Linked DNA regions of Notamacropus eugenii. The protein of the gene in region 2 purifies or fractionates together with the protein of the main gene of each other region. This does not show direct contact. Links are inferred from orthologs where the notes say so. Each region holds a gene or a part of one and is shown on either strand. Other genes may lie near its edges. The genes, in order: PPFIBP1 and protein S100-A4.

Evidence for each region.
Region 1: the proteins of protein S100-A4 (region 2) and PPFIBP1 purify together in Homo sapiens (co-immunoprecipitation; 3 studies listed by BioGRID and IntAct, with this or other methods). This does not show direct contact. The link is inferred for Notamacropus eugenii from reciprocal best matches to the Homo sapiens genes S100A4 and PPFIBP1.

What each region holds. Positions count from the first base shown.
Region 1 is NC_092874.1:218,739,737-218,755,194, reverse strand, and holds the start of PPFIBP1 (liprin-beta-1), read left to right. Parts: upstream 1-9,713; 5' UTR 9,714-9,754; coding exon 9,755-9,818; intron 9,819-12,613; coding exon 12,614-12,819; intron 12,820-15,458. UniProt on the Homo sapiens protein: May regulate the disassembly of focal adhesions. Did not bind receptor-like tyrosine phosphatases type 2A.
Region 2 is NC_092873.1:377,519,814-377,535,242, forward strand, and holds protein S100-A4, read right to left. Parts: upstream 7,459-15,429; 5' UTR 7,238-7,458; intron 4,847-7,237; 5' UTR 4,827-4,846; coding exon 4,686-4,826; intron 4,028-4,685; coding exon 3,863-4,027; 3' UTR 3,670-3,862; downstream 1-3,669. Other genes in the region: S100A3 (protein S100-A3), read right to left, coding at 9,705-9,866, 11,019-11,159. UniProt on the Homo sapiens protein: Calcium-binding protein that plays a role in various cellular processes including motility, angiogenesis, cell differentiation, apoptosis, and autophagy.

The DNA.
Region 1 (15,458 bases), on a different chromosome or scaffold from region 2:
AGTTAGCAATTATATGTATATGTATACATATAATCTAATATATAATAAAGATAGAACAGAAAAAGAGAAGAAATACATCACCAGCCAAGTCTGAGTTTGATCACTGTGGTACAACAGGGGAGGCTGAAGGGGGACGGGGGTGGGAGAGAGTAGTTGGCCAAGGTCCTGACTGGGAAAATCAACAGAAGCACTTCTGAAGCAAAGACCTTTCTCCCATTCAGTCCCTTTATACATGTAGCTTCAGGGGAAAACAACCATTAGAACAGAGAGAGCAAGGAAGGAACTTTGGCCAAAGTTCCACTTGTTGACTTTGATGTATGTGCCCAAGGACTGGTCAGATCCTCATACACAGACACCTCCTCCCTTAATGAGTTTTATGACTCTTAAGATAAGGGTCTTTTGGCTCCGACTACGAGATTCGTTAATTCTTCCAAACTTTATGTGCTGCTTCCTTTGGCACTAACAGTTACGCATATCAACTTTAAGTTACATTCCTTATGTTAGGTCATGTGGTGGTCACTCAAGGTGCTGGGAAGACTCTCCTCAGTTTCCCCCACAGTTGGAATGAGGAGTTTGAACGAGATTTCTAATAATTTAATAAACTCCAGTGACTCCCTCTTGTTTCCATAATCAAATATCTCTGGCTTTTTTTCATCACATGGACCCTTCCTACCTTTCTAGTTTTCTGTGATTCAGTGACAGTGGCCTCCTGTCTGTTCATAGACTCTCCATTTTCACTGGCCTTAATCCAAATCTATCATTTGCTCCGTCTTTTATCACCACCTCTTGACTTACCTGTCTTCCTTCAAAAGTTCCAGCTAAAATCCCACCTTCTACAGGAAGCTTTTCTTGATCCCCTTTAATGGTACTGCCTTAGTTTTAAGATTATTCTTAATTTGTCCTGTGTATGTGTTTATACATAGTTGTTTGCATGTTGTCTCTTCCGCGGCACGGACTGTTTTTTTTTCCCCCTTTCATCTTTTTTTTTGGGACCATATTTGGCACAGAGCAGACACTTAGTTAGTGCTTGATTTGACTTGACTTCTCAAGTCTAAGCTCATCTAGCTCAAAGCTATGATCTCTCAAGTGTCCAGGACAACTCTTTAAGAAAATAAGTTACTGCTCTGCATTGGCAGATAGGGAGTTTCCTTACTGGGAGTTCTCTAGACCCAAGAAATTAGAAATCTAGATTTAAAAAAAACCCAACCAGTTCTACTAAATTAATATTCCATAATTTATTCAACCATCTTCCACTTAAGTGTTAGATATAGGGAATGTTTCTATTTATCTATTTTCTATTCTATCTAATTTTTTTTAGCCATTACAAATAGAGAATTTAGTACAGATAGAACAACTGTCCCCCTTTTTAGCAAAGGAATCAAAAGGTATAAAGTTGCTTTGTGACTCTTATTGCATATCAACATGTTGCTCTCTCCAAAATATTTGTAGCAATCTACTCTTCCCAAGGCCTTGCCGACATTGGAATTCCTGATTTTAAAATTATCTTTGCTATTCTAGTGGATGTATGGTTGCATCTTAATGTTGTCTTGCTTTGTAACCTTTCAAGAATTAGCAGTTTATATTTCTGCCTTTAGAAACTGATGGCATCTTTTAATCCTTTTAATATCCATATTCCATTGTGGAGTATATTAATTTTATAGATATGCATAAATTCGTTACGAAAGTCAGACCTTCAGCTGATATATTTTCAAAATGTTTTTCAATCTACTTTTCTTTTAATTTTGTTTTTGTTGTGGCTCAAAATCTCTTAAGCAAATTCTAAGCAAATACATTGAGTTCTGATTTTTGATACAGAAATATCACTCCTTCACAAGTGAGAAAAGTATTTTCTAGTTTATTTTTTTTTTTTACTTAAGATTGCTTATTCAGTTAAATTGTAGTATATAGTATAAATGTTGATTGAAACCCAAATTTTGCCTGCCATTCATTATTCACCTTCTTTCGAAAAGTAACATCTATGCATTTTTTTTGGATATTTCTTTTTTTATGTCCTTGCTAAACTGTATTTTTCATAAAGTATTTAGACTCTGACAATAGCAGAGGATACTCCCCAAAAGAGAGACGGCTCTGCTCCTAAGGAATAGAGGGTCTTCTTTAGACTTAGACCTTGACATTATTACAATTTATGCAGATTATATAGAAATAGTTGTAATACACAGCTTAAAGAATCTGGCTTTGTTAAATTTAATTTTAAGTTTGTCTTCTAAGTTCCAACCTGTTTTATTCTCTGTTCATGCAACCAGTAATTCTATCTCAGTCTTCCCTGAGGAAAATAAGGGCCCAGCTGGTGGGACGTGAGGTATAGCACCTATGTTCTCCTCCCAAAACACCCTGATATCTGGGAATAGTTTCTTTTTCTTCATGTTCTTGACTTTTTTTAAAAGCTAAGTCCTTTTCCCATTTTGCTTTGCTTACCACTACCTAACCCAGGGGTAGGAGGCCATGTGTGTCATTCCAAGTCCTTGGACACAGCCTTTGGACTGAGCGCAAGTTTTACAGAACAAATCCTTGTATTACAGGAACGTGTTCTGTGAAGTTAGGTCTTAACCCCTACCTGTTTTCCTTTTGGCCTGTGTTCTCACCCATTTCTGGCATGATCCGTTACCCAGTATTCTTGTGTCAGCTAAGCAATGGTATAATGTACCATATGTGTTTTTGTGGAGGAAGCGGAAGGGAAGGAGTTATTCAAAGCACAAATCCTTTCTATTACCTTATTCTTTACAACAATAAAGAATGTATGTATATATGTATCTATCTCTCTATATAATGTATATACACACACATACTGTATATATAAACATATGTGAATGTAGATTTCCATTGTTGGCAACAAGCAAGTACACTTCACACAGATTCTTTATATGCCTTATATCATGGCTGTGAATATTCTATTAAAGAGTAAAAAAGACATTATGAGTTGCCATCATTATTGAAAGTAATAGTATTGGTGACATAAGTATTTATGGATATGGCCCATTTATTTATTGCCATATATCAATATTATGGCAAGTTTCTAGAGGGCAGAGACAGTGGGGGTTTTTTTATTTGCTTTTTGCTCTTATACAAATATTTTTTAAGCACTTGTGAGCAAGCCACTGTGACAGGACTAAGATAATACTGAAATAAAGATGTGGACTCTGTACAACACCCAAGTCAGAACCCCATGCAGGGAGATTTGTTTTTATTCTAGATCAGGCCTAACAGTTCCATTTGTTAGGAAACTCTTGTAGGCCCACTTCTCTGTAGAGGAATATCATGGTCCTGAGGGTAATGCAAAAATGTGGCCTTCTGAAGCACCTGGGACAGAAGAAGTAAGGGGGCATGGGTTCCAGTTCTGGCTCTACCATTTGTATGACATTGGCAAGTCATTTAAGTTTTCTGATTCTTAGTTTGTTAACCCATCAGTTAAGGAAAATAATACCTGACCAACCTACCTCATGGAGCCATTGCAAAGTTCAAATGACATGATGGATTATGGAATCACTTTCAAAAGTAGAAAATGCTGTAAAAATGCCAGGGTCATTTTTATGTACTAAATAAAGCCACTCCTTGATCCCATGTTTCCTACCCAGGAATACCCTGGAAATAAAAGAGCCCCCAGGAGCATATTAGCATCAGTACTCTTTACCTCAACTGCTTCAGTCATCTGAATATATAATGAACTTACCAGCCATATAGAATAGAAATGTACTTTGGGTTTTTTTCCCACTGATACTAAATTAGTGCCTGACAAAAGGGTGGAGTTAAGGGCTCAAGTTCTTTTTACTAAGTTAGAAATAGCACAAGCAGTAATTAGGCCAGTGTTCCCCACACCTCCAGTCTTACACTACCTGAAATGTCTCTCAGATTAGAAATAGGAAAGAAATAGAAAGCTGCTACAAATGGAAAGTTTTTCCTACCCCATTTGAAAAACAGGAATTTGTTTGTAAGGGTTGGGCTTGAGATGTATAAGTATTTCTTGTTCTAGTTTTATTTCTAGTGAAATTTGAGTATTCTTTTTCATATCTTTGTTTGTATTTTATGGATGTTGACTATTCATCCAAGTAGATATTATGGGTTTGAGGGGGGTGGAGTTGGGTCATTTTTAATAACTTGTCAAATTTCTCTATACCTCCATGATGTGTTAGTCTTAAAAGAAAAGGGAATTTTTGCTATTTAACTCCATGGAGTCAAGAGATTGAAGGAACTTCAAAGATAGTTCTGCTGTCTTATGCTTTGACTCTTCAAGGATTTCTTCAGGTTTTTAGTTTTTCACTTTAAAGCTTGACATTTAAAATTGTGCTCCCCCTCTTTGCACCATCCAACAACACATTTAACTGGGCTCTAAGCTTGGTTTTACCACTGAGTCGCTATGTGATCTTACTCCTCTGTGCCCTAATTTCAATTGGAGGTAGTATTTGTATGGAGAAACTTCTGTTTACCACAACTACGTGTCATTTGTGAAGCTCAAAGGGATAGGCCCAAATAGCTACCCTTAAACTTTTACAAATTCTCACAGACTCATAGAGACATAGAGTTTTAAAGATGGAAATGTCATTAGTCACAAAATCATTCTAATGTTTTCACTAGGGAAAAAAATCCAACAACCTAGGATAATCCCCTTTTTAAAATTGATACCCAGAAAGGAGAGTTTATTACCCAAAGCTGAACAACTAATTAATGGTATCACTGAAAGAGGAAGAAAACTTTATAGCCTGGCTATGTTGTCAGCCCACATCCCTATTCAATGTTTCAGGACTTCCCTATTTGAAAAGACTCAACTAACTTCATTCATGAATCCAACACTTTATCTCCATCTTGTCTGAAGAATTTACGTGTCATCCAAGTCTGCTTACTTAAGATATTGTGTGCCATCTCATTATAATGACTACATCTATTTCAAGTCATATCAGAACTCCTCCACCTAGCACAGATTAATAAACTTTTACTTAATTCGATGTATATTAAAATCCATGTGAATTCAGTAACCCTGACAGAACCCTCTAAAATAGCTATTCTCAAAGTGTGGTCTTTGGGCCCCCTGATAAAGTCAAACTATTTTCATAATGATCCTAAGACATTGTTTACCTATTAAAATAATCCTCCTCTTTCTAACTGCATGTGTGTGTGATGCCGAATTTTCTCCATATACTTCACAGCCAAAACAACACAGATTGAATGCAAAAGCAGGTATGAGAATCCAATTGTTTTTCATTAAGACAGGCATTAAAGGGGTTTGCAAAAATATATAAAACAATTCTTCTCACTAAATTTTTTAAGAAAATTTTTTAGAAAGTAGCTATTTTTTATAAAAATTATGCTAACATGGAATGAGTTTATAATTACTTTTAAATTAATACATAAATATTAAAAATTTTTGACAATTTTAATTTCTAATATAGTAAATATCAATAGATGCAACCCACAACCAAAAGCTTTTCAGTAATTTTTTTCAGTAAGAAATATTTCTTTACTGCAAACTTCATGCAAATCACTTTACTAGGCAATTATAAAATATAAAATTTAGTTAAAATAGATTATAAGCTCCTTGATTGCATTTATTGTTACATTTTTGTGTATATACATAGTAGGCACTTAATAAATGCTGATTAATTGATAAATTATCCTTTACCTCACAGAACTTATATCTTACTATAAGATACAACAGACAGAATGGTGTGTGTGTGTGTATATATATATATATATATATATATTTTGCACTCAATAGTATTTTTTTCACTTACATATAAAGATAGTTTTCAACATTCATTTTTGTAAGACTTTGAGTTTCAGATTTTTCTCCCTCCCTTCCTTCCTTCCCTCAGCCCCAAGACAGCAAGTAATCTGATATAGGTTATACATGTACAGTCTTGTTAAACATATTTCTGCTTTAGTCATGTTGTGAAAGAAGAATCAGAACGCAAAGGAAAAGCTATGAAAAATGGGGGAAAAGTGAAAATGATATGCTTCATTGCATTCAGACTCCATAGGTCTTTCTCTGGATATGAATAGCATTTTCCATGACTAAGTCTTTTGGATTCATTTTGAACCATTATATTGCTGAGAAGAGCTAACTAAGGCTATCATAGTTGATCATTGCACAATGTTGCTGTTACTATGCACAGTGTTCTCCTGGTTCTGCTCACTTCACTTAGCATCAGTTCATTTAAGTCTTTTCAGCTTTTTCTGAAATGTGCTCATCATTTCTTATAGCACAATAGTATTCTTACAACACAGTACAGTATTCATATGTCACAGGTGGTTCAGCCATTCCCCGATTGATCAATATCCCTTCAGTTTCCAATTTTTTTGCCACCACAAAGGGAATAGTATAACAAGGGTTAGAACGCAAAGTGCTGTGTGAGTCCTTGAGGGGAGATCGTTACCATCCGAGGGATCAGAGATATCTTTACCAGATGTACTTTATAAAATGAGTAGGAATTAAGCAGTCAAAGGAAAGGCATTCTAAGTGTAGAGAATAACATGGACAAAAAGCAAGGAGATGTGAGAATGCAGAATATGTCCCAGGGCCAGAAAGCTTTTCCATTTGGTTGGAGTATAGATTACATAATGATATCCTGAAAGCAGTAGGAGATGGGAGCCTAGAGAGCAGAAGACAGATAAGCAGTGGAGATAAAGATTTGAGAGCCATTTTTATAGAGGTGACAGTTAAAACTGGGGGGAGTTATTTTCCAGAAAGAGAATATAGAGAAAGAAGAGAATGAAGGACAGAGCTCTGACAACCAGCCACCTTACCAGAACTAGGAAGGGGAGCCATTCCTGGAGTCATTAGAGAGGGAGGGAGAGAACATGGGGCATGTGATATTTGTAACTTCAGAGTGGATACTCGATGAAGTAATCACCAGCATCAGAAACCACAGAGGGGTGAAGGAGAGTAGGGATTGGAAAGAGATCATTGGACTTGATGATTACATTGATGACCTTAGAGAAAGCAATTTCAGTGGAGTGGTTCAAGTGCCAGTTCAACTTGCAGTGATTTGGGAGGGTAGCAAGAAAATGGAGGCATTCTATAAGACAACTTAAGAAAAACTACCTCTACCAGCTTATACAACATTCACTGCCTGTAGTTAGTCTACCACCTCTATACCAAGAGGAGAAGGTTCATTCCACCTAAAACCCTGATTAGTCATTGCTTTTAATCTGATTTCTAATTGTAGATGACTTTTCTAGAAATTTATTAATGAAGGGGAAGAAAAGATTGGAGGAATAGCAGCTGGATGATTTAGAATGTTCAGCAGAGGCACTCTAGAATTGTGGAGAACTAAGCATATTTGCAGACAGTTGGGAAAGAATCATTGGTGAAGGACAGACTGAAAATGCATGAGAGTGAGAGAGGAGATGATGCCTTGAGCAAAAATCCAGAAGATGGGAGTGGAAAGGAAAAGCATAGGTGGCATGAAACATCTAGTTGGAGTAGTGAGCAAAGTGCTGGACCTTAGAGTCAGGAAGATTGAGTTCAGATCCTATCTCAGATACCAGTTCTGTGACCCAGGACAACTCATTCAACCTCTGTCTGTCCTAGTCTCTTCATCTGTAAAATAGGGGCTACAATAGCACCTACCCTCCAAGGTTGTTCTAAGGATAAAATCAATCTCTGCAAAGAACTTTGCAAACAAGGCACCACATTGAGGCACTAGTCATTACACTTAGGGAGAAGAGGCACTTAGGAGAGAGGCATAAGGTTTGAGGAATAGAAAAAGGGAAATAAAGCAACTTGCAGAAGGTGAACTCATTTTTCTAAGAAAAGTAGGAGGTTTAAGTCATCTGTTATAGGTGTGGGGATAATAATATCATTGGTAGCAAGAAATGAGAAGATGTTTGGCTTTTGGGGAAGCCTTTACCCCCAAAAGGTATAGTTCAAAAAAGAAAAGGGAAGGAACTATCAACAACTCTATGAAAAATGCTTTCAAATCACAAATAGTGAAAGAAATGTAGACCAGAGCAACTCTAGAAGGTTCATCTCACAGCCTTCAAGTTGGTAAAAATAATTAGACAGAAATTAGTCAGTGCTGGAGGGGCTGTGAGAAGGCAGGCACACTAAAACACCGTTGTTGATGTGAATTGGTCCAACCATTCTGGAAATCAATTTGCAGTTGTGTAAGAAAAGACAGTACATTGTTTGTATCCATATATGACCCAAGTTGGCCAAAGAAAAGGGACACAGGTCCCATTTATTAATGAAGAATTCATAGCAGCCCTTTTTGTGGTAGCGGAAAACTGGAAGCCAAATGGATACCCATCAAGTGGAGAGTGATTGAATAAATTGTTGTACATGAATGCATGGAATATTATTACAACACAGGAAGTGGTGATAGGGAGAATTCAGAGAAAATTTGGATGACTTGTTGAAAAAATGAAGTGAAAATAAAATAAATGTAAAAATTATGACTAAAATAATGCAAATGAAAATACCAGGAGATATCAGAATGCAAATTAAATGCAATGATTCTGATTCCAGAAAATTGATGAAACATTCTCCCTATCAGATGCTTTTGCTGGGACACTTTATCTTTCTTGGCTGCTTTTCTTTGTTACAAGGAAAGGTTCAATGGGGCAGAATTGTAGGAATACACAGGGATATAAAAAATACAAAAAAAAAAATATTACTATAGCATTTTTTAAAAGTGTTACTCCCCAATAGGTTAGTGCTGAAAAAACTATGAGTATATAGTTCTCAAAATAACTATAAACTGTTAACAACAGTATGAAAGAAAATTCGAAGTCACTAATAATAAGGGAAATGCAAATCAAAACAACTCTGAGGTTTCTCTTCATGCCCAGCAAACTGGAAAAGATGGCAGAAAGATAGAAACAGGCAAAGTTAGGGTGCTTGTGGAAAAACAGGCACATAATGCAGGAATTGTGAATTAGTGCAAGCATTCTGGGGGAAAAGATTGGAATGATGCAAAACATGTTACTTAACTGTTACCCTTTGACTCAGAGGTCCCACTAGTAGGCATATACCTTAAGGTAATTAATGACAAAAAATTCTCAGTGATTTTTAAGAGTATAAAGGGATCGTCAAATTAAAATGTTTGAGAACTGATGCCCTAAAACAGGGGTGAGCAAATTAATGCTCAGCCCAGAAAGAGGGACAAGTTCTACCACCTGTTTTTAGACTGCCTTAGAGCTACACATGGTTTTTATATTTTAAAATAGTTTTATTGCATTTTAAAATGTGAAAAGTTGGGTGGTTGGCTAGTTTTGGACTAGATTGTGGACTCTTGCCCAAAAATGTTAAAAATACTTAATAGTTCTATATGTTACCAACTAGACTGAGATGTTGTGTATAGCCTAGTGAATAGAATGCTGGACTGGTCAAGAAGACCTAAATTCAAATTCTGTTACAGACCTGGGCTCTGTATGACAGGGCAAGTCACTTAACCTTTTTCAGCTTCAGTTTCCTTATTTGGAAAATGGAGCAATAAGAGCTTCTGCCTCACAAGGTCAACTATTACTAGTAAAGCAGTACTAATAAGAGTCATCTGTGTCTCCTCCTGAATCTGATCATTATACTTGCAAATAGCATGTGGTCTTTAATAAATATTTATTGAATGAACAAGTGAATAAATGACCTCAGGACTTCTCCCTTAGCATAGAGACTTGAAAACTGAAATCGTAATTTGTCAAGGAGGCGTTGATACTTTTCTGAGTGCAGTTAATAACCCCATCATTTTTTTTTGTTGTTTCAGATCCAGATTTGACTTCATTCCCCACTTGAGAAACTAGAAAAATGATGAGTGATGCCAGCGATATGCTGGCAGCTGCTTTGGAGCAGATGGATGGTATCATAGCAGGTAAGATCAGTCTCCAGCTTCTAAAATCCAGACTCAGTGATGAGTTGTTCCTGTGAAGGAGGAGATTATATTGGTTTGATCAGTTTCATCACACCCTCATAGTAGCTTATCTTGGACATATCAACTCCCATCGCTAAATCTCAGTTTTCCCATATATATGTAAATATGTATATGGGGGTTGGAAAATATCAGTTCCCTTCTTGCTTCCAAATCTTATAATTGATTGATTGACCATTGCAAAGTAGTGTCCATTTGTGGACACTAAGAGGGATTTTGAAAATCTAGAAGAGTTGTTTAGAGGAACGTGTCACAGTGGTGAGATGCATGAGGCAGCCATGCCCTATGAGAAACAGTTAAAGGAAATGAGAATGTTTGGTCTGTAGAAGAGGAGACTTGGGGAAAGAAGGAATGTGATAACTGCCTTAGAACATTTGAAGGGCTGTCTGTCGTATGGAAGGATCAGAGTCAGACTTAGTACACTAGAACAATGACTGGTTCTTTGACTTTTTGGTCTTAGGGCCCCCTTTACGCTCTTTAAAATTATTGAGATCCTCGCCTGCCCAATGAGCTTTTGTGTATGTCGGCTATATCTATCAGTAGTTTCTTGTTAGAGAAAAGAACTTAAATATATTGTATAAAATATTATTATAATGATAGTTTTGACTTCAGCGACTTCCAAGAGCTCCCAAGATCACACTTTGAGAACCAGTTTTAGAATCAGTTCTTCATCAGTTCTAGAATCAGTAGATGAAAATTAAGAGAAGATAGATTTCAGATCAAATTGAACAGTAGTAATCACTCATATTTCTCCAATGTTTTTAAGTTTTTTGCAAAATTGCACTCTCACAGTCTTGTAAAGCAGGCAGTATGAAGATTATTATTATTCTACAGATAAAAAAGCCAAGAGGTTCAGTCCCTGGGTTATAGAGGTAGTTATTGTTGGAATTAGAATGCAAGCTCTGTTCTTCTAACTCTTAAGATCAGTATTTTCTTTATTACATCATGTTTTCCCCAAGTCCAGTTGGACTTTGTTATGGACTCTCTATTCTGTAATTGTGGAATCTCTCTTTGGGGCTGTTTGGCCTCAGAAGTTATTTAGCAATGTTACCATTTCAATACCATACTTATTTCCCCCGTCCCAGAGAATGGCAAATGTCCTTGCTTCATAAAACTTCCTCTGGTGTATCTGGCTGGGTCAGAGGAGGTGTGTATCCCACAGCATCTCCAATTCAGGCTAGGCCTTCATTTTTCTTACTCTCTGCTAGTGAGGAAGAAAGAACTATTTTCTTCAGTGAGCTTTTGAATCTCCTTTTCCATTTGGCTAATTCTGCTTTTGAAAGCATTCTTCTCCTCATTGGCTTTTTGAACCTCTTTTGCCAATTGAGTTAGGCTAGTTTTCAAGGTGTTATTTTCTTCAACATTTTTTTGGGTCTCCTTTAGCAGGGAGCTGATTTGCTGTTCATGCTTTGACTTCATGTCTCTCATTTCTCTTCCCAGCTTTTCCTCCACCTCTCTAACTTGATTTTCAAAATTCTTTTTGAGCTCTTCCATGGCCTGTGCCCATTGAGTGGGCTGGGACACAGAAGCCTTGATTTCTGTGTCTTTGCCTGATGGTAAGCATTGTTCTTCCTCATCAGAAAGGAAGGGAGGAAATGCCTGTTCACCAAGAAAGTAACCTTCTATAGTCTTATTTCTTTTCCCTTTTCTGGGCATTTTCCCAGCCAGTGACTTGACCTCTGAATATTTTTCTAGTGAGGAAACAATATAAAAATGCATTAACTGAGTATAAATCTTTTTGGTGGTGAGCTTTTAGAACTCTGCAGATGTTCTAGGTAAACTACATCCAAAGCATTCTCTCATCTACTATCAAAAAAAGAAATCTGATCAGTTTGGCATGGCTTGTTCTCTATAAAATTGTGTTGGTTCTTTGTAATTACTGCTTTCCTATCTAGATATTCAACAATCATCTCTTTATCTGATCTAGAATTTGACCAGGAAGTGAAGTTAAACTCATCGTCCAAAATTCTGGAGGGTCTGTTCTCCAATATTTTTTAGGCTAGAAGGACTACATTGGGACAACATTTGCCAGTCTCTCCAAACTTATGAACCACTGTTCTAGAGGATACTTCTAGCTTTCCATGATCTTTCAAATATTACTGACAGTAGTGTAGTTTTTGTGTCTGTCAATTTTTTTTTTTTTTTTTAGAACCTGTGGATGGAGTACATCTGGGTCAGGTGATTTGAATTCATCAAGGAAAATTAACTCTCTCCTTATTTATTATAAGTGTCAGCTCAGTGTTAGTAATTTTATAAATAAATTACCTAGGTTAGATTTATAGGACAGTAGATGTTTATTTGATATGAGAAAAAATTTCCCAACAATTAATGTTTGTTGGGGCTATAGTGGAATGAGCTCTCCTGAGAGATAATAAGTGCCCCATCAGTGAAAGTACTCAAGTCAAGACTGGATAGCTACTTATTGGGTCTGTGGTGTGGGGATTTCTATATCAGATTGAGAAGAGATAGATGATAGATTACACAGAGATGAACTCTGAAGTCTTTTCCAACGCTGACATTTTCATTGCCTTATTAGAAATTTATTATTTGCTAAACTGCCTGTCTCAGGGAGTATGGCACCATGGTGGTATTTACAGTATCTAATTGCTTTAGCTCATGAGTTTCACAGCAATTCTGATAAAATGGTTTCCCAGCAAGGCCATAAATATAGCTTTTCTTTTGGCTTTATAAGAACTGGATTTATGTAAACTTCATTGCTTTCATTTCACTTTTTCTAGGCTCTAAAGCCCTGGAATATTCCAATGGGATTTTTGATTGTCAATCTCCAACCTCCCCATTCATGGGGAGCTTGCGAGCCTTGCATCTGGTGGAAGATCTTCGTGGCTTATTAGAAATGATGGAAACGGATGAGAAGGAAGGATTGAGATGTCAAGTCCCTGATTCAACTGCAGAAACTCTGATTGAATGGCTTCAGAGTCAAATGGTAGGGTACTTGTATTTTAATTTAGAATCTTTTATGATCTCAGTAATGGGGAACTTGGCTGATTTCATTTAAAAATTTTTAGAGACCTTTGTTTAGCAGCCTCACTATATTGTTTTCCCACCACTTAGCAGACTCTCTTGAGTTTCTTTTACCTATAATAATAATTTATCATTGTAATAGCTGCATTTCACTAATACCAACAAGCCATTAGATCTCATATATAAAATTCCTATGACCAGACTCTAGCAGAGTGATTGAATAGTTTTTATAATTATATAATATTTGAGAAGATAAGGATTTTTGAGGTTCAAAGATTTGAGAATTAAGTAAAATTTTGCTAAAAGTCAATACATGTTAGAAGATTCATGGTGAGGAAACTTTGCTTAGAAATGTTTCATTTATTGATGGTTTTAGTGTTCTAAGCACCATTGCCATATATCAGTAAACCCGCTAAGGTCTGAATGTCTGTCAAACATGTAAGTTGCAAAGAACCCAGGAAAGACGTAAATCAAAATAGAAAAGATACATGGCATTTACTTTTATTGACATGATAAAACTTCCTAAAAGTTTAAAAAATATTTTTATATATTCATATATTTAATTTTTATTTATTTATTCTTAAATATTTATTGAATTTGTTAATTTTTTAAATTAACTATATTTATTTTAGGTTTTGTTTATTTATTTTTAAATACTTAAATTTCAACATGATAAAACTTCCTAAAAGATTTGATTTTTAAATATCAATAAAAAATTAGGTATACTCTATAAAAATTGGATTTTTAAATGTCAAAATTTTAAATGTTTAAATATCAAATACTGGAGATTACAGCCTTTCTGGTGCAGCTGAATTAGGAAGTGGCATGATGGATCTGGTTTATGACCACATCTGCAGATCAGCATAGGACAGGAAATCACACTGGTCACATTGCAATGACATGTCCACCTGGCTGTGAGTCAGTTTTACTCCTATTCCCCACTGATTCAGTGATGTCACTAAGGCTGTGGGCTTTAGCAGGACTAACTGTTCTTGAGATGAGGATGTTTACATGAAATGTAACTAGAACTGTACAGAATAGGGAGTTTCCATTTGACCCTCAGGGTTCAAAAAATAAACTATTATAATTTCCATAATAATAATATAAATTGCTGCTGGATTATGTTAATTCTGTATTGTAATGATCTAAATACCACTTAGCATCTGTTGAGTCTTATAACTGTATTTTCCATTACCTGTGAGCAGGAAACATTGAATTCAAACTTTTTTGGTGGTGGATGCTGCAGCCATATAGCCTCTACCCAATGATCCTTATTCTTTACTGAGTCTTTGAATTAAACAGATTGATTAAGCTACTTGGGGCTTTTCAAGTTTACTGAAACATCATCAATCTACCAAACTCCTTCTCAGGAACCTAATATGCCAACATGGTTAGAGGAGCCAAACATGTTTTATGTAAAACATTTACCAGCAGCCTGCCTGATATGAATAGCAAGCGATTAATAGGTATGACTGTAGCTTTGTCTGATACCAAAAAAGCCACATCACCACACCCGGCATTCTTAGCACATCACACTGAATGAAAAAGAACATTTGTCTGTTATTAAAGCAGCTGCCATTTGGGGGCCCCAAGTTGTTTACTTGTCTGATTCCTCATAGTCACCTACTGCATGACATTTTTACATCAAACTCAGGCATGTTAAATTCAGGTAAGGAAACCTAGAATGATTATATAAAATTTTAGAGTAGTTAGACTCATTATGATCTTACATTTTTCTCCCTTGTTCCTGTTATGCATCTTGTTGTATGACTTTGGGAAATTCTGCCCAATCTATCCTACAATTTCTTTAACAGTAAAGTGAGACTAATACTCGTTATGCTTCACTAGTATATGTTTGGAGCATATATAAGAACTTCTTAGAGTACTCAGAACATCTTAGATTGCATAAATTCTAGAAAATGTGACTATAAAATAAATTGACATTTCAAGTATGTTTTAGGTATTTTGTTATTTTCTCTGTCGTGAGAATAATTTCTACTTACTAGCAGTAATTGGTAGTGACATGAAAAGGCAGCTATCAATAGCCATGGAAATAGTACTTATTAGTTATTATGTGTGTGTATGTGTGTAATGGGGGTAATCAGACTTGTGATTTCATCAGTGTAGGGAAGTTAAGTAATTTGCCCAAAAGCAAGTAGATAATATATGACAGTATTAAAACTTGAAAGCATATCCTTCTGATTTCCAGACTAGCCCTTCTCCATTATGCCATGCTGCATCTTAGGTATACTCTATAAAACTCTTAAGTACACATATCATTCTGTGTGAAGCCAGCAATGATTAATTTCCTGTTTGGATCTGGAAATTGACTACTTTCCTAATCCTTATTCAAAAATGAGTTCTGTGCCAACACTTAGAAGTTCTATGGCAATCCTTTAATTCATGACAAAAATTACTACCACTTGTTCATTTAAATTTTCTTTTTGCCCCTTTTTCCAAAAAAAAGATTTCTTTCACTTTCTTCCTTATCCGTCTTCTCTTTCTTTGTACTTTAGAACCTCATTCTCTGATTCATCATGCCTATAATCATCTGGTCTCTCTTTTCTCTGTATTATTCATACACTCAAAGTTTCTGAGGTA
Region 2 (15,429 bases):
CCTAAATCTCACTCAGCCTGTCTTGGCCCAGATCTATTGCTAATGAGCTGTGTGACCTTAAGCACTGAAGTCACTTCACTTGTCTCAGTGTTTTTTATAAAACTTGGGGGTTTAGCAATGGACTATCCCCATTTTTCGGATGAGGCTCAGAAAAGTAGAAGCTATTTGTACCTGCTGATCATCAGAACCTCAAATGATCCCACATCTCTTGACCCCAAATCCAAGCTCTTTTTCCTACTAAGCAGGGTTTGCTGCCTCTAGCCTCCCATCCCCTGAACACTAACCCCTCCATCCTGTAAATCTCCTAGGAAAATACTCCTGCCCTCCATATAGCCACCCAAGCCAAGCTGAGGATGTCCAGTGAAGACTCACCCAATGAAGCCAAAGCAACCAGTGAATCTGAGGAGATGGGAAGAAATAGAATCTCTGCTTACTCTCTAGCTTTATTACCTTTGTTTAGACTCCAGGGAGCTTGGGATGGGAAAGGGCCAATGAAAAGGGGAAGGAGACACAGAAAGGCTCAGACCCGGGCCTCCTGGGAGGAGGAACTAAGGACCCCATGGCTCTTGCTTTGTTTACAAGCTGTAGAAAGAGGAGGCGAGGCTCAGATTGTGAGCCTTTAGGGTATTAAGCAGAGATTGTCTCCTGAGTCAGTCACTGTGAGTCATGGGAGGAACATATGGTGTAGTGGGGGAAAGGGCTTAACCTGATGGCAGGTGTAGACCCTGGTGGAATCCTGGCAATGATATTTACTAGCTATGTGACCTTACAGTTCTGTATCTGTGATTTTGTGACCTCTCCAAGCCTCAGTTTCCTGATCTGCAAAAATGCAGATAGCGGTATTTGCACCATTTACCTGACAGAATTGTCCCAGAATTATAGAAGCATCGATTTTAGAATAGGAAGAGCCCTCTAAGCCCACCTAGACCAAGCCTTTCATATTTTGTTGTTGTTCAGTCATCCTTCAGTCATGTCCAATTCTTCGTGACCCCATTTGGGGTTTTCTTGGCAGAGACACTGGAGTGGTTTGCCATTTTCTCCTCCAGCTCATTTTACAGATGAGGAAACTAAGGTAAACAGGGTAAAGTGACTTGCCTAGGGTCATACATCTAGTAAGTGTCTGAGGCCAGATATGAATTCAGGAAGAGGAGTCTTTCTGACTCCAAGCTCAGTGCTCTATCCACTGTGCCCTGAGGCCTACACAGGTGAGATGATTTGCCTAAAGTCACAAAGATAGGAAGTCATAAGTTTTCTGACTCCAAATATAGTGTTCTCTAAGTCTTAAAGCACAAAAGAAATGTGTTATCATCTCCATATCTCCCAAGGAAACATAGCACTTGAAACATAGAACTGAGACAGGGGATATGGCTGAGTGTAAAAGATGCCTGGTACAGGTCAGAGTGGTATTTTGAAGGCTGACCATAGAACTGAAGTTTTCTAAAAGATATGATTGGTTTTTTTTGTTTGCTTTTTTCTAACCCTGCCATGACTTTATTAAAAGAAATGACAAATAGGGATCTTGGTATCAGAGACGGGAAAGGACATTATAGGGGATAAGGGTAGGTGTAGATTGTCATAAATTAGGGCTGAGTGCCAGGATGGGAGCCCAACTACCAAACAGGGTATCAGAATAGTCATTCCTACCTAAACTTAGGCAGGGTCTCTGGAATAGGGTAAAAAGATTTAGAGTGGGGCAAGATTGGGGAAGGGAGAAAAAAAGAGTTTGAATGTTGGAAGTCAGAGAGACAGCGGGCATGAGAAGTGGCTACCTTGATTAGTCCCTTGTTCCTCCCTTACCAGTCCTCTCCCTTTTCCCTTGGCCCTTCACTCTCAGGGGTGAGGCACCAGGACTAAAGAGGGAGACCAGGGATTGGTTGCTTGGTGATAGGAGTTTCCGAAGCACAGTTTAGAAACAGAATGATGCAAAAGGGTGGATTGGTGAGGCTCAGGAAGGATTGACCTGGGGCAACAGCAACTGTGGTGAATTAGTGAAGGAAGAAGTGAAGGAGTCACCCATAAACAAGGTGACAGGATCATAAGCCTTTATTGTTAAATCCTAAACAGTAAGGGAGGCCTCTGGAAAGACATACTAGGGTCACCCATCCTCCCACACTTAAGGGGAAAAAATTATAGCAAGGAAAAGGGAGAAATTTCTGAGAGATCTCCTCTGCTGTCCCCCAAATTTCAGGCAGGATAAATTTTAACCCAGGATCAGAAAGTTAAATTAAGGCCTCAGCTCCTTTTAACATCTTTTGGGTCCCCAAGTGATGTCCAATGGGCCTCATTTCTAGTCCTAATCCTTCACATGACAGTTAATGACTTTTTTATTTATAGCCTATAACCGTATTGTAATCATTCTTCAGCTCTTTCCCTATCTCAGCTGACTTCAAACTCAAGATTCCCTGTCTCTCCCCACCCTGTGATCTTCAGTTTCTTCATCTATAAAATGAGGAGATTGGACCAGACAATCTTTAAGGTTCCTTTGAGCCCCGGTGCCTATGATACTGTGAGACTAACTTGTTCAATTGGAAATTTTCCTCTGATTTCTTTTTATCCTCCCCTCTGACCTCTCGGTTGACCTCCCTCTCAGCTGGCACGCAATTCCAGGGTCTATTTCCAGAACAGACATCTCATCCCAAGACAATTTTCAGGAATGTTGTTTCACATCCCCTTCTAGTATCCCTTGGAACAGCCCTAACTCATGTCCCCTTCTGCTTTTGCTTTAGACAGGAAGGGGTTAAGTATTTCTGTGATTCAGACAACATGTGAGTGGAGGAAGGGGCAAGGCCAGTGATGTCGGCCAGGAACTAAGTAGACGAAAATTTTTACTTCCATCTCTCCCTTTCTATTCCAAATGAAAGCCCAAGGGCATGCTGAGAAGTAGCTGTCTTCAGCACACTTTCCCCTTCCCTACCCCACCCCCCAACCACGGTTTCTCCTGACTCCCAACATCCACCACCCCCAAGGACCCCTCAACAACATACCACACCAAGAACAGATGTGATGTTCAATATGACCTTGAGTTAGAAGAAGAATGGGGAAAGAGGGGGATGATGGCAATACAGGGGACTCAAGAGGGCAACATGTCTAATTTATGGTGGTTCTTCAGGACTGTGGTTTTTGATTTTTCAAGTCTCATCTCTATGTTCTCAAGGATTTTTCTGCCTCTTGTTGCTCGTCCCTATGCTACCCAAAATTTCTTAAGGGTGTTATGGAAAGAGCATCAAGACAGAAATGAGATAGAAAGAGTATTAAGCCAGGAATTTTGTCTGGACTCCAAAAGGGTCTGGACCAAGTGATCTCTGAAGGTCCTTCTTCACTCTAGCACCCTATGAATCTATAAACCATTCTGTGTCTCAGTCTTCAACTGTAAAGTGAATGAGATGATCTAAAAGATCCACCTCAGCTTTCACCGTCTGTGAATCTATCTCACCGGTGCCAATGAACTACATGCATTTCCGGCACCAGTTTCCCCAAGACTCCTCCTTTCAAATTCCTCCTCCCCAAGCCCTGCCACTGACAACTCACATCAGCATTCCCCCAACTTTTAAAAGCCCCTAAAGTCAGAGAGACTATGCAGGTCTCTGCCTCTCCACTCTCTTTATTGGGTAACCACGTCACTGACCCACCCACTATCCACCAAAATGACTCCCCAAACACCAGTGGACATTCTTGCAATAAACCTTTATTAGCTCTACTCAGTGACCTGGGTGTGCTCCAGCATCACCCAGGATGGTAAAATGGGCCCACCTCAGGGCTCCATGAGAATACTGTGACCCTATAGCTTCTCCCCAGATCCCCCCTCCCCCAGGAGCTTCCCCTTTTTCCCTCTCCCCTTTCCCAGCATCACCGCTGCTCCCCTTTATTTCTTCCGGGGCATCTTGTCAGCATAGCCCTCGAAGAATTCATTGAACATCATGGCAATGCAGGACAGGAAGACTGCATACTCCTGGAAGTCCACCTCATTGTCCCTGTTGTTGTCCAGGTTGCTCATGAGCTTCTGAAAGGCAGCTTCATCTGTCTTTTTCTGGAAGAGGAGAAAGGAGACAAGATGTGGTGTGACAACTCCCCAAAACGGAGCCCACCACCTCATCAGCGGAGCATAGTGTCCTGGATTTACGGCAACAAGGGACTTCAAAGGCCACTCAATCCAACCCCCTTCTTTTACAATAGGAAGAAGAGAAGGGAACATGCATTTATGAAGTGCCTACTATGTGCCAGGAACTTTACAAATATTAAATTCATTTGATTCTCACAACAATCCCGGGAGGTAGATGCCGGTATGATTCCCTTTTTACAGTTGAGGAAATTGAGGCAGACAGAGATTAAGTGCCTTGCCCAGGGTCACATAGCTAAGAAGTATATGAGGCTTGAACTTGCTTCTTCCTGACTCCAGGTTAAGTGCATTTTTAGATGCATAAAATTAAATACACACTATTACCAACTATACTTAAATATAAAAATAAAATCATATAACATGAAATATTAAAATATAATATATAAATATAATAGCATAGCTCACCAACCCCAGGTTAAGAACCTTTCTTCTACAATAATTAGCTATAATAGTTAATATGATAATTATAATAAATGAGAATATGTGGTCAACAGGCGTCTCGAGTGGCAGGAGAGCTGGAGGCAGGAGCTGATCTATGGATTCCACAGCACACATACACACTACTCACCCCCAAGAAGTTAGGGAGTTCCCGAGTCACCAGCTCCTTCAGCTCTGTTTTGTTGAGCTTGAACTTGTCTCCCTCCTTCCCAGAGTACTTGTGGAAAGTGGACACCATCACATCCAGAGCCTTTTCCAGAGGGCTTGCCATGATACTGTCCTAAGGGGCACCTAGGAGGGAGCAAGTGAAGACACCTTTGATTTGGGACAGAGTGGATGTGGGATTGTGTTGGACTACTTCAAGAATGGGTGATGTCATCCATGTGGGAACCTCCCTCCTCTGATGAGTTCAGTACCACCAACACGAATAGTGAGTGATTCCTATAGAAATAGAACTGAAACCCACATCTTTCTAGCCCAGAATAAGCTTCTGAAAACCCAATGATGGAGTGAGAAGTCAGAAAAATGCCCTCAAATCAGCACCTTTTTTTAAGAAAAATCATTTGGAAGGTTAGAGGAAGGGAAATGAAATCTAGGAAAAAACCCAATTTTTCCATTTTAACTCATTATTCTTCTTATTGAGGTTCTAGACTCAGTTGTTCATATTCATCTGGAGGACTTGAGGCAATGCCTGGGATGCCCCACCCTAGACAGGGCTCCCTGTATAGACAACCTATTATTCCTTAAGTGATCACGATGGATCATGTTAGGGCACTGCTAAGGCAGTCCAAAAAGCATGGTAAACTGGCTGCTGCTCTTCCAGAGGTGAACCTTCCAAATTTAACTGGCTTGGATAACAAGACGAAGTGGAAAGTACCCTGGATCTGGAACCACAGGATCTGGATTTGAATTCTGGTTTATTACCCATGTGACTATGAACAACTTGCTTCCTTTCTCTGGGCAGAGATAAGAAGCCTTAGTGCTCATCTGTCTAGTTGCAGCCATTCCCTGACTATGGACTTTGAGTAATTGCAGTGACTCAAAATAAAGAATATATTATCAATACATGATAATATATATAAATATGTAATAAATAAGTAAAATAAAAATCTCACACATCTTACTATTTTTTGATTATAGTAGGTGCATTCAAAAGTGTTACTGAATTTTTGTTGTTATTCTGAGTCAACTTATGCTAATTTTTCTATTTTCCCTATATTTTCTATATATTCTATATTTTTACTATAATGAGGTGGGAGGGGAGGATCTAGAAATTTTTTTACATTAAAAAGTGTCTACCTACTCAAAGAAGTTGGGAACCACTAAATCTAGACTGAGCTCCTCACTTTATAGATCCAAAACCAGCATAAATGTCAGCATTCCACCCCATCCTCTGAACCCTTCACCCTGGGACCATCAGGGTCCCAGCTCCTCCCTTCAAGACAGGACGATTCTGGACACCTCCCTAGAGAGCTGACTTCTGGGCTCCTCTCAGAGTAAAGCATGAATGGGGCAGGATTCACCACCCTGAGGGCACGAACCGACAGGACAGAGAAACTAGCCCTGGCCCAAGCAGGGTCAGACAATAAAGAGAAGAGGCCCTCCAAAGAAGGCCAAATAGTCCTTAGACTCAGGACTGACAATTCATACTGCAGCCCCTACTATAGTTATGCCTGAGGGAGCACAAAAAGATTGAAGAATGCCGAACCCCACCCTGCCTCAGTTTCCCCATATAGGAGGTTCAGGGAAGCTCTCTTGGTTGGCAGCCTCTTATGTGAGGAAACTGAAGCAGAGTGGGGCCCAGATCTTCCGATGCCTCCCTGCCAGGCACACTGCACCTCTTCAGAGAAAATCTGCCACTGCATCCAGTTAAGTTTAGAACACATTAAAGGTCATTTTTTAAACCAGTCCTCTGTCCCCACCTCCCTGCACAAAACTGTTGCCCTGAAGTTTCCTCTCTAGTTTCTTTCGCCTGCCTAGTCGCCCTAGGAAGTTGTTTCTGCAATGCCTGCCCCACCCTAGGCTCCTCTCAGTGCCCAGTACCACAACAACAAGCTAGCAATGGTAATCTCCAGCTCGGTTTTTCCACCACTCATTCACTCACACTCACACATTCCCCAAAGCTTAGCCCTCCCCAGCCCATTCTTCTGCTCTGTGCACAGGAGTGGGCGGTTGCTTCTGGAGACAGGCCCTGGGACTGACAATGGAAAAAAACAGTCAAGCAGAGGGGAGGGTGAGTTAGGAAGGAGAGGAGGGGGAGGAGAAGTGGACAGAGGGGGAGCTATTCCCCTGCTCGGGAGAGAGATCAGAAGTGAGGTTTCTACACAGCCACTACACAGCTCCACATGTACATATGTACATGCATGAAACATGACTACATGCTGCTGACACAGATGCACTCTCCAGGTGCAGAGATGTAATATGCAACATGCATACAGCATCCAAGTCAGATGGTCTTGCAATCTTTCCCCCACTGGGACACTCCTCCACCCCACCCTGGCATCTCTCTACAACTCAAACCTGAAACACCTACCCCTCTTCACCACTCCTTCCTCAGAGTCTTTCTGTAGGATCCTCACATCTGGATCTACTTCCTACATCTGGCCCCCACTCAGCCTCCTCTGTCTACCAGGCCCTAGGGTCCTGTCACCCACATCCCCGGCCAAGTCAACCACAACTCACCAAACCAACCAGAGAAGAAATGCAGAGAGGGGAGAGAGAGAGGGACACAGTGGGGAGGGCTGAGCCAGGGCCTATTTATACCCCCAGCCAAACCCTGCCTGTGGCAAGGGGCGGAGGGGAGCTGGGACACCCCCTCCCTGATGCTGGGTCAGAGAAGACCAATAGCAAGGCCTCTTCCACCTCCTAGCTCACGTTGGCTGGTGGGTGAGCAAAGCTTACACAAGATGAGGCACTAATACAGGGATAGTTTTCAGGGACTACTCCCCCCCATCAGAGAGAGAGAGAACCCTGAAAATAGAGCCAGACAGCGCCCACAGGCCTTGAGCCCCCAATCTGAAGGAGTAGGTAGAGCCCCAACCCCACTTTGTAGGAGGGGCTACAATAAGAGGGGGGTATGCAGTCTTTGTTAAGTTGTAGGGGAAAGGGGAGGGGAGAGCATGAGGATGGAAAATTCCTACAAAACTAAGAATCTTCTAGAACAGAAGGAAGAAAGACCCAGGGCACAGGACTGATCTGGTGTGAGAGAGGGGGCCACTTAGTCCCTTTGCCTCATGGGGAGCAGGGCTCTGCTGAGGGTGTGGCTCTCCTAGACATAGCAGGATATATGTGTGAAGGATATGGAAGTGGATGCCAGGCTAACTCCAGAGAAAAAGACTTGGAGAATGCTTGGGAAATACTCCATGGAAAGAAAAACATCTCCAAGTACTGTTATCCTCTGGAGTTTGTGGCTGAGTGCCCAGAAGGAGTCCAAGTGTAGGGACGAAGGAAGGAAGGGGAACACATGAGTGTGTAGGATGGGGCTGATTGTCAGGATTGGGGTGGGGGGTGCACCCATGTGCATCTGGAATGAATCAGAACAGGGAGGGAAGGACACATGAGTGCCCAGAATGAGACCCGAGAAGGTGAAGAGGGACACAAATCGAGGGAAAGAGTACACATGAGAGTGTATATGGGGGTGAGGTGGGGGTGCCAGAATAAAGGGGGACACATGAACCTATGGGATACGGGACACTTGGATGTTGAGGATGGCATCCTAAGGTTACATATCAGGAGATGAGAGTAGGGATAAAATATCTTCAAAGGTTTGCTAATCAGTTATCAGACCAAGGCACAGGGGTATCTCTCCCAGATGCTGTCCCCTTACTCTGGACTGGGGTTGGGAGAGGTATACCAGAAAACGAGAAGAAAACAGGCCATCAGCTTTAATCCTATTAGTGCCGCCATTTCAGCCCTGGCGGCTCCCCACAGCCCCAGGCTAGAAATGGGCAGCCCCACCCAGGCCCCACCCTCCACTTCACTGGTGCTCTGTTGTGGAAGCACTGTTACCCAGTGGCCCTCCTGAACCCGGATTTGAGACGTGCTTCACCTCTCCCTATCACAGCCTCCCTCTCCAGCCCACCACCAGTATTTCTCTCTCAAAGACCCCCAGAGAGGAAAAGCCTGTAGTTCAGGAGCTGTTAACTTTTATTTTGGTGCCATGGACCCCTTTGCCAGTCTGATGAAGTTTTCTTCAGAATAATATTCAAATGATTGAGAGAGTTGCTAAATTTCATTTAGAGGTTAGTGAAAATAAAGATGTAATTTTTTTCCCCCATTCACTAGACCCCCTTGAAATTTGACCCCCTGCTCTAGATGTTCAGAGGGCACTCCCTTCATCCAATGTGTATACTCTCCATTTTCAAATCTAACCACAAATCTCTTGCAGCAGTTTCAAAACCACTCCCTCTTCTTCCTGATCCTCCTTCCTCTAGAGATGGTGAGACTAGCTGAGAACATAAAGCCTCTTCTCCCAACTAGTAATATCAACAAGTTCTCCAAGTACCCCCTCAGTTTTTATTCACAGGACTCAGGGAATCCCAGTTCCTTAGGAGGATGGCTGGAATTTGAGGTATTAGACAAAACAGTTGGGTCTCAGTAACAAAGAAGCCCAGCCCAGCCCTATTCCATTCCCTTTTAAGAATAACCAAACCACCGCAAAGGGAGCTGGAACAACAGCCATTTTTATTGAGAGATCATTCACACTGGTGAGCACATGAACAATGAAAAGAATTTCATCCCTAGTACCTCATTCCTACTAACCCCACCATCTCTCTATGTCTTCTCTTTACCTCCCCAAAGTACTTTCTTAGTGTATTCTTGAATTAGAATAGAATACCACAGACCCAAGGAGAAGGACAAAAGGAAGCAAAAGAGCTGGAAGAGGAGAAGGGAAATTTCCTAAGGGTCCTAAATCAAACTGAAAACTGAGACAGATTAAGGAATGTCTAGATTAGGAGACCTCATCCATTATGTAGTACAAGGATCCTCAAAGGAGAACCTGGCTTTCCACAGAGCAGACAAGTGACCGTTCAATCTCTCCAAGACAACTTCCAGGTAGAAGGGACATAACACCAAGGTTACAGCTCTATCCCAAGCATCAATTCACTTTATCTCCCCCCATCCCTGACCCATCCCACTTATGGAGTTACTAAGGACAAGGAGGGTTAGGGGGACAATCCCGGAAGTATTCATGGCAGTAGATGCAGAGACAGGCCAGGGCTCGGACGTACTCAGTGAAATCCACTTCACAGTCCTTGTTTGTATCCAATGCACTCATGAGAGTATTGTAGTCACACTCTCGGAGCCTCGTCTGGGAAATGTAGAAGAGAGTAAGAAGAAAGACTGAGACAGGAAGAACTTCTTGGCTTTCTCAAATCAGTGCCATGACATAATAGAAGGAGCACTGGATTAGACATCGAGAGACCTGGGTCCCTCAGCTTTATCCCCTGAGCCCCTGTGTGACCCTGGGCAAATCATTTTTATCAGGTGTCTCTCAGACTGATGATGGTCTGTTTAATCTACATTGTACAGAAAGACTACATCTCATTGTCAGGAAGTCCTTTCTGGGCTCCAGTTTAGTGCTTGAACAAGGCATTTATATACCCTAGTCAGGATGTCCCTCATATTTGAAAATGGCCCCCAGAGGTATGGCTAGCCACTGAAGGCTTTAAGAATTACACTGTAAAGTCCCCCATGCTGTCACAAAAAAGACTATATTTTCTGATATTAAAAAAATGTAGACTGCTAAAATTTTATTTTTAAAAATATCCTTCATTCTGTTCCATCATTTATTATCATTAATTAATAATCACCTCACATCTATATAGCACTTGAAAGGTTTAAAGTTCTTTCCTTACAACTGTGATGACAAATTCCATAGAAATGGATCCCAGAGGGCCACGTGTTTACTTAGAATACCACAAATTAACATTATCTATATTGTATTATATTTTTATTTATTTTGTTAATCATTCCTCAATTACATTTCAATCTGGTGTGTGCTACACTTGCTAGTTTTATGGGATGCTTGCATCCTTAGCTACAAGTTCCACCCCTCTGTTGTAAAACACTCTTCGAAGTAGGTAACACATTTACTTTCAAAGGGCATTTCATCACAATGTACTTTCTCTGATAATGATGTTTTCTATGCTATGCTAAATCATAATGGCAACTCCTACTTTGGAGTTTCAGCTCACACATAATGAATTTTATTCCAGCTTTTCTTTTGAATAAACTTATGAGTCTGTAGGCTTCGGTGCTAAGTGTCAGCGCTGGGATCAGAGCCTGCCTCTCCTGACTCCCAATTCAGCGATCTGTAAAACATGGATCTTGCCTCCTACTCCCCACTCCCATCACATCCCATTCCACTCTGCTCGAGATTGCCAGCTCAAGAAATGATAACTCATGAAATATAAAAGCTCACACCACCCCATCTTCACCATGACCCCTGACGGCCTTTTACCGGGGCTAAGGTGGGCAACTCCTTTAGCAGCAATTCTTTCAGCTCACATTGGGAGAGTTTGAATTTGTCCCCGGAACGCGCTGAATACTGCTGGAAGGTATCCACGATGGCAGCCAATGCTTCCTCCAAGGTTGATGGCATGGTCACTTGGGGAAGGAGGACACAATTATTCTCCAGCTAGGGCATATGAATGCATATCATGTCATGAGATACAGCAAACATTTATTAAGCAAAAACCATTTGCTAAGACATTAAAGAAGGTACACAGGGTAGATACCGCATGGACCCTGCCATCATGATGTTCACCATTTAGGAAAAGGATAACAACATTAGCACAAACTCTTAAAGTATAACTACAAACCAAATATACCACATTCCCAAATACTTTAGAAAGTTAGAAATCCTCATTTCCACCTACAATGCCATAAGCTCTAAAAGGAAAGAAACAGTATCTGAATCATCTCTCCATCTCCCCCAGATGGCTATGAAAGAATCAAGGTCAAGGGCAGTACCCTCGAGTTTCTCCTTGGCACATACCCCCCTCAGCCTCTACCCTCTCCTATAGGGTCTGTCATCCTGCAGGTGACTCCCTAATGTCTGCTTTCACTTTGGTTTGAAGTTCTATTCACATGGCCCTCCCTTCTCATCCAAATTCCTTCAGAACCAAGCTCAAATACTTCCATGAAGTCTTCCTTAGCATGGCAGAATGGAGAACACCAACTTTGGAGTCATAACCTGGGTTTACATCTTGCCTGTCATTTACTGCTGATGTAACCTTGGACAAGTCCTTTAACCACTCTGAGTCTCAATTTCTTTATTTTTAAAATGAGGATTTTGACTAGATGGTTTCTAAAAATCCAATTTTAAACCTAGAAATCTATGAACCTATGTAGTTAAATAAACTTATCAGCTGACAAGTAGCAGGCAGAGATAGGAAGTAGATTAGACTTATTTTCTCTTATATGTTTTATAATAACTTCGACAAAAGTATACCAACTTTGCAAAGAGTACTAAGGTGGGAGTTAATAGTTAATATGTGAGAGCAGAGGTGTCAAACACACAGCTTAGGATCACCTGAGGTCCACAAATGCTCTCAAATGTGGCCTGAACCAAATTAAAATGTAATTGGATGGGTAGAGGCAGCCTTGGAGTCAGAAGGGCCTGAGTTCAAATCCAGCCTCAGGCATTTACTAGCCCTGTGACCCTGGGCAAGTCACTTAACCTCATTTGCCTTAAAAAATATGTAATTGGGAAATATTTAACAAAATAGATAAAAATATGGTAAGACATAAATAATGTTAATAGAGAATTTTCTAAGTTAATATATGGCCCACAGGGATCCTTAATGCATGATTTATTGACCCCTTTTCTATTTGAGTTTGACACCAATGTGTCAGATGACAGGATTGGGATCCAGTGAGATCCAGGCAGACTGGAACTATGAGGTAATGGAGGGTTTCAGGCAGAAGTCAGATGACTATTGAAAATCAGAGAGTCAGAAATGAAAGGAATCTAATCTAAACTCTTATCACAGGTGTTATAGAAGGGATTACTGCTCAGGTAGGCATGGACCTAAATGACTTCTGAGGCTTCTTCCAGCTCAGTTTCCATGATTCTGTGATCTCTTTGCCTCTCCTTTCAGATTCTGTTCTCCCTCAGGATTCTCCTGCCTACCCTCATGGCCTTAGCACTTATAAAGGGGATTGGCCCATGGCTTTGGGGGACTGACCGTATTAGAGACCTTAACCCTTTGATTGTTCAGTCGTTTCAGTCATGTCTAACTCTGTGACCCCATTTAGGATTTTCTTGGCAAAGACACTGGAGTAGTTTGTCATTTCTTTCTCTAGCTCATTTAACAGATGAGGAAATTGAGGCCAACAAGGTTAAGTGATTTGCCCAGGGTCACATAGCTAGGAAGTATCTGAGACCAGATTTGAACTCATAAAGATGAGTCTTTCTGACTCCAGGCCCTAAGTCCTCCAAATCTGGCAGTTTTTCCCTTGTGAAGACCCTATTCCAACAGGAGCCCCATAGCACCCATCTATCTCCCCAGGGACTCCCTGAAAAGAGAAGGGATGATCAAAGGGGGCACTGTTTCACTTTTGCATTTCACCCTCAGGTCCTTAGAATAATAGCTGAGGAATGAGCAAGAATTAGGAATGCTAAGGATTCCCAAAGTCTGCTCTTTTTTTCATTATTCTCTTTCCAGCCTCATGAAAGGCAGGATAGTGCAGTGAAAAGCTCCTCATATAGGGCAGCTAAGCTGAGGTTCTAGTCTTCCTCCCTCTGCTCTCTTGGGCAAGTCACAACCTTCCTTGGTCTCAGCTACCTCATCTCTGAATTATGAATAATGACACTTTACCTGCCAAAATGTGGGATATTAGAACAGACCTTCTAAGGTCCCTTCTAGACCTAAGATACCCCTTCAGAGCCCATACCCCATGGGGGAACCATCCTTCTGACCTGAGCAGTTTGGAGGGAGTCTTGGGAAATGGGTTCCTGCATGGGACCACCCTTCCCCGACCATATTAAGGGATGGCTTCCCCAACTGGGAAATCCTTTGGGGGATAACCATTTCACCAATCCCAGGACAGGAAACCCCCAAACCAGCCAAGAAAGTAGTAGTCATTTCCATTCATATAAGGTGACTCATACTCTGCTCCCTAAGGGGAAGAGAGATTTCTCTGATAAACAGCCTAGCATAAGCCTTCTCGCCCAGTCCTAATCTGGCCCATTTGCTGACTTCTGCGGAAAGGACTGTTAGTGATAACCATTTAATATCATTTTTGGACTTTAATAAGGACCAAAGCCTAAACTAATCAATCAGACTGCATTGCTTTGCTCTAAAAATGCCCTTTCCTGTGTCAGCAACTTCAAAGATCTGTTTATGAAAGGATTCCTGCAATCAGAGTGGTGGCATTCTTCTTATCTTGGTATCACAGAGATATATGACATATATGGGAAACCCAGATATTCTGATATCATAAATTCCAATTGATACTACTTTGTCAAATGTCCTGTCTCACTGTGTTTACAACTTATTCAATTAAGAAAATTCCTATCTTATGATATAGTTAAACACATATAGAGACCATAAATCTGAAGACACAGACATCCTGGGATTGTCCTAAAACACATTTAACCTGATCATTCTTTCATCAGTCAGAACTTAGGTTTTGGTTCTTTGTACAAGTTTCCTAGCTTAGACTAGCTTAAAGGGAATAAACAACGTGCATTAACATATCGCTCAGCCTGTTTGCCTCCTTTAACCAAATTTTCAGGTCAACCCTAGAAGGCTGTAACCAGGGCTAGGTAGGAGCAGGGGCTTTCTGAAAGCTCTGACTGTTGTCTGCAGATGGGGGATGTCCTAGAATGTAGAGGAAAGGCAGAGTTGGAAGGGGACAGGAGGGTGAGCCTCAGAGATTGCTTGGGCCAGCCTTATCCCCTTAGGCCAACTTCTCTAAGCTTTAGCCAGGGAGTTCATAGATTTATCTCAACTTATCCCTGAGCTCTCCCCTAACCAAACAGGGAAAGAAAGCAGAGGGAGCTATCTGAAGGCAACTGCTGTCTCTGGATACTGGCCACCAAACCCAAGTCTTTTTTCACAGCTATCCTCACTATACCCTGAGATCTCCAATATGATCAATAAATATTAATTAAGTGTTTGATATGTACCAGGAAGCCTGAAAAGTGATATGTCATAGTGGGTATAGCCAGAAAGACCTGAGTTCAATACCTATCTCAGACACATCCTGGCTGTGTGACCCTGGGTCACATCTCAGTGTTCTATGCATTTCTCCAAGACTAGAAGGTGCATTCCCTATGTCAGTGAAATCACAGATCCAGTGTCTGCCCCCTTCCTGATCCCTATTTCTACATGTCTGGTACTATGCCAGGTCCAGAGAATACAAAGACAAAACCTAAAACATTTCCTGATCTCAAAGAGCTTACTTTCTATCAGGTAAGCCTGGACAGCTGTTCTCTGAGACCACCCTTTTCATATACCCAACCCCTTCTCCAACTTTGTCCCTGTTAGGACATTGCTCTCCCTCCCCATCCTACATTTCATGGAATCCCTTGTCCACAATTAAGGGTCTGGTGGTAGTATGGAGAAAGAATCCTCCACAAACCATCTGACCTCACTCCCAACCCAGAACACTTACCAGTAGGCTAGCTTCTCAGTTGTGATAGCCCATGGACAGGGGGTATCCCTTTTTGTAGGCTCCTGCCTGGGAAAGAAGGCAATTACAGGTGGCCAGACTAGCAAGGATAGTGTTTAGGGATTCCCCTCAGGGGCACCTTTTATTAGAGACTCAGCACCTCTTCCCTGGCTGCCCTCACACATCAAAGAGCTCATTCTGCTTCCCTCAGCATCATCCATTCTTGAGTTATCATTGAGCATCCAATTCTC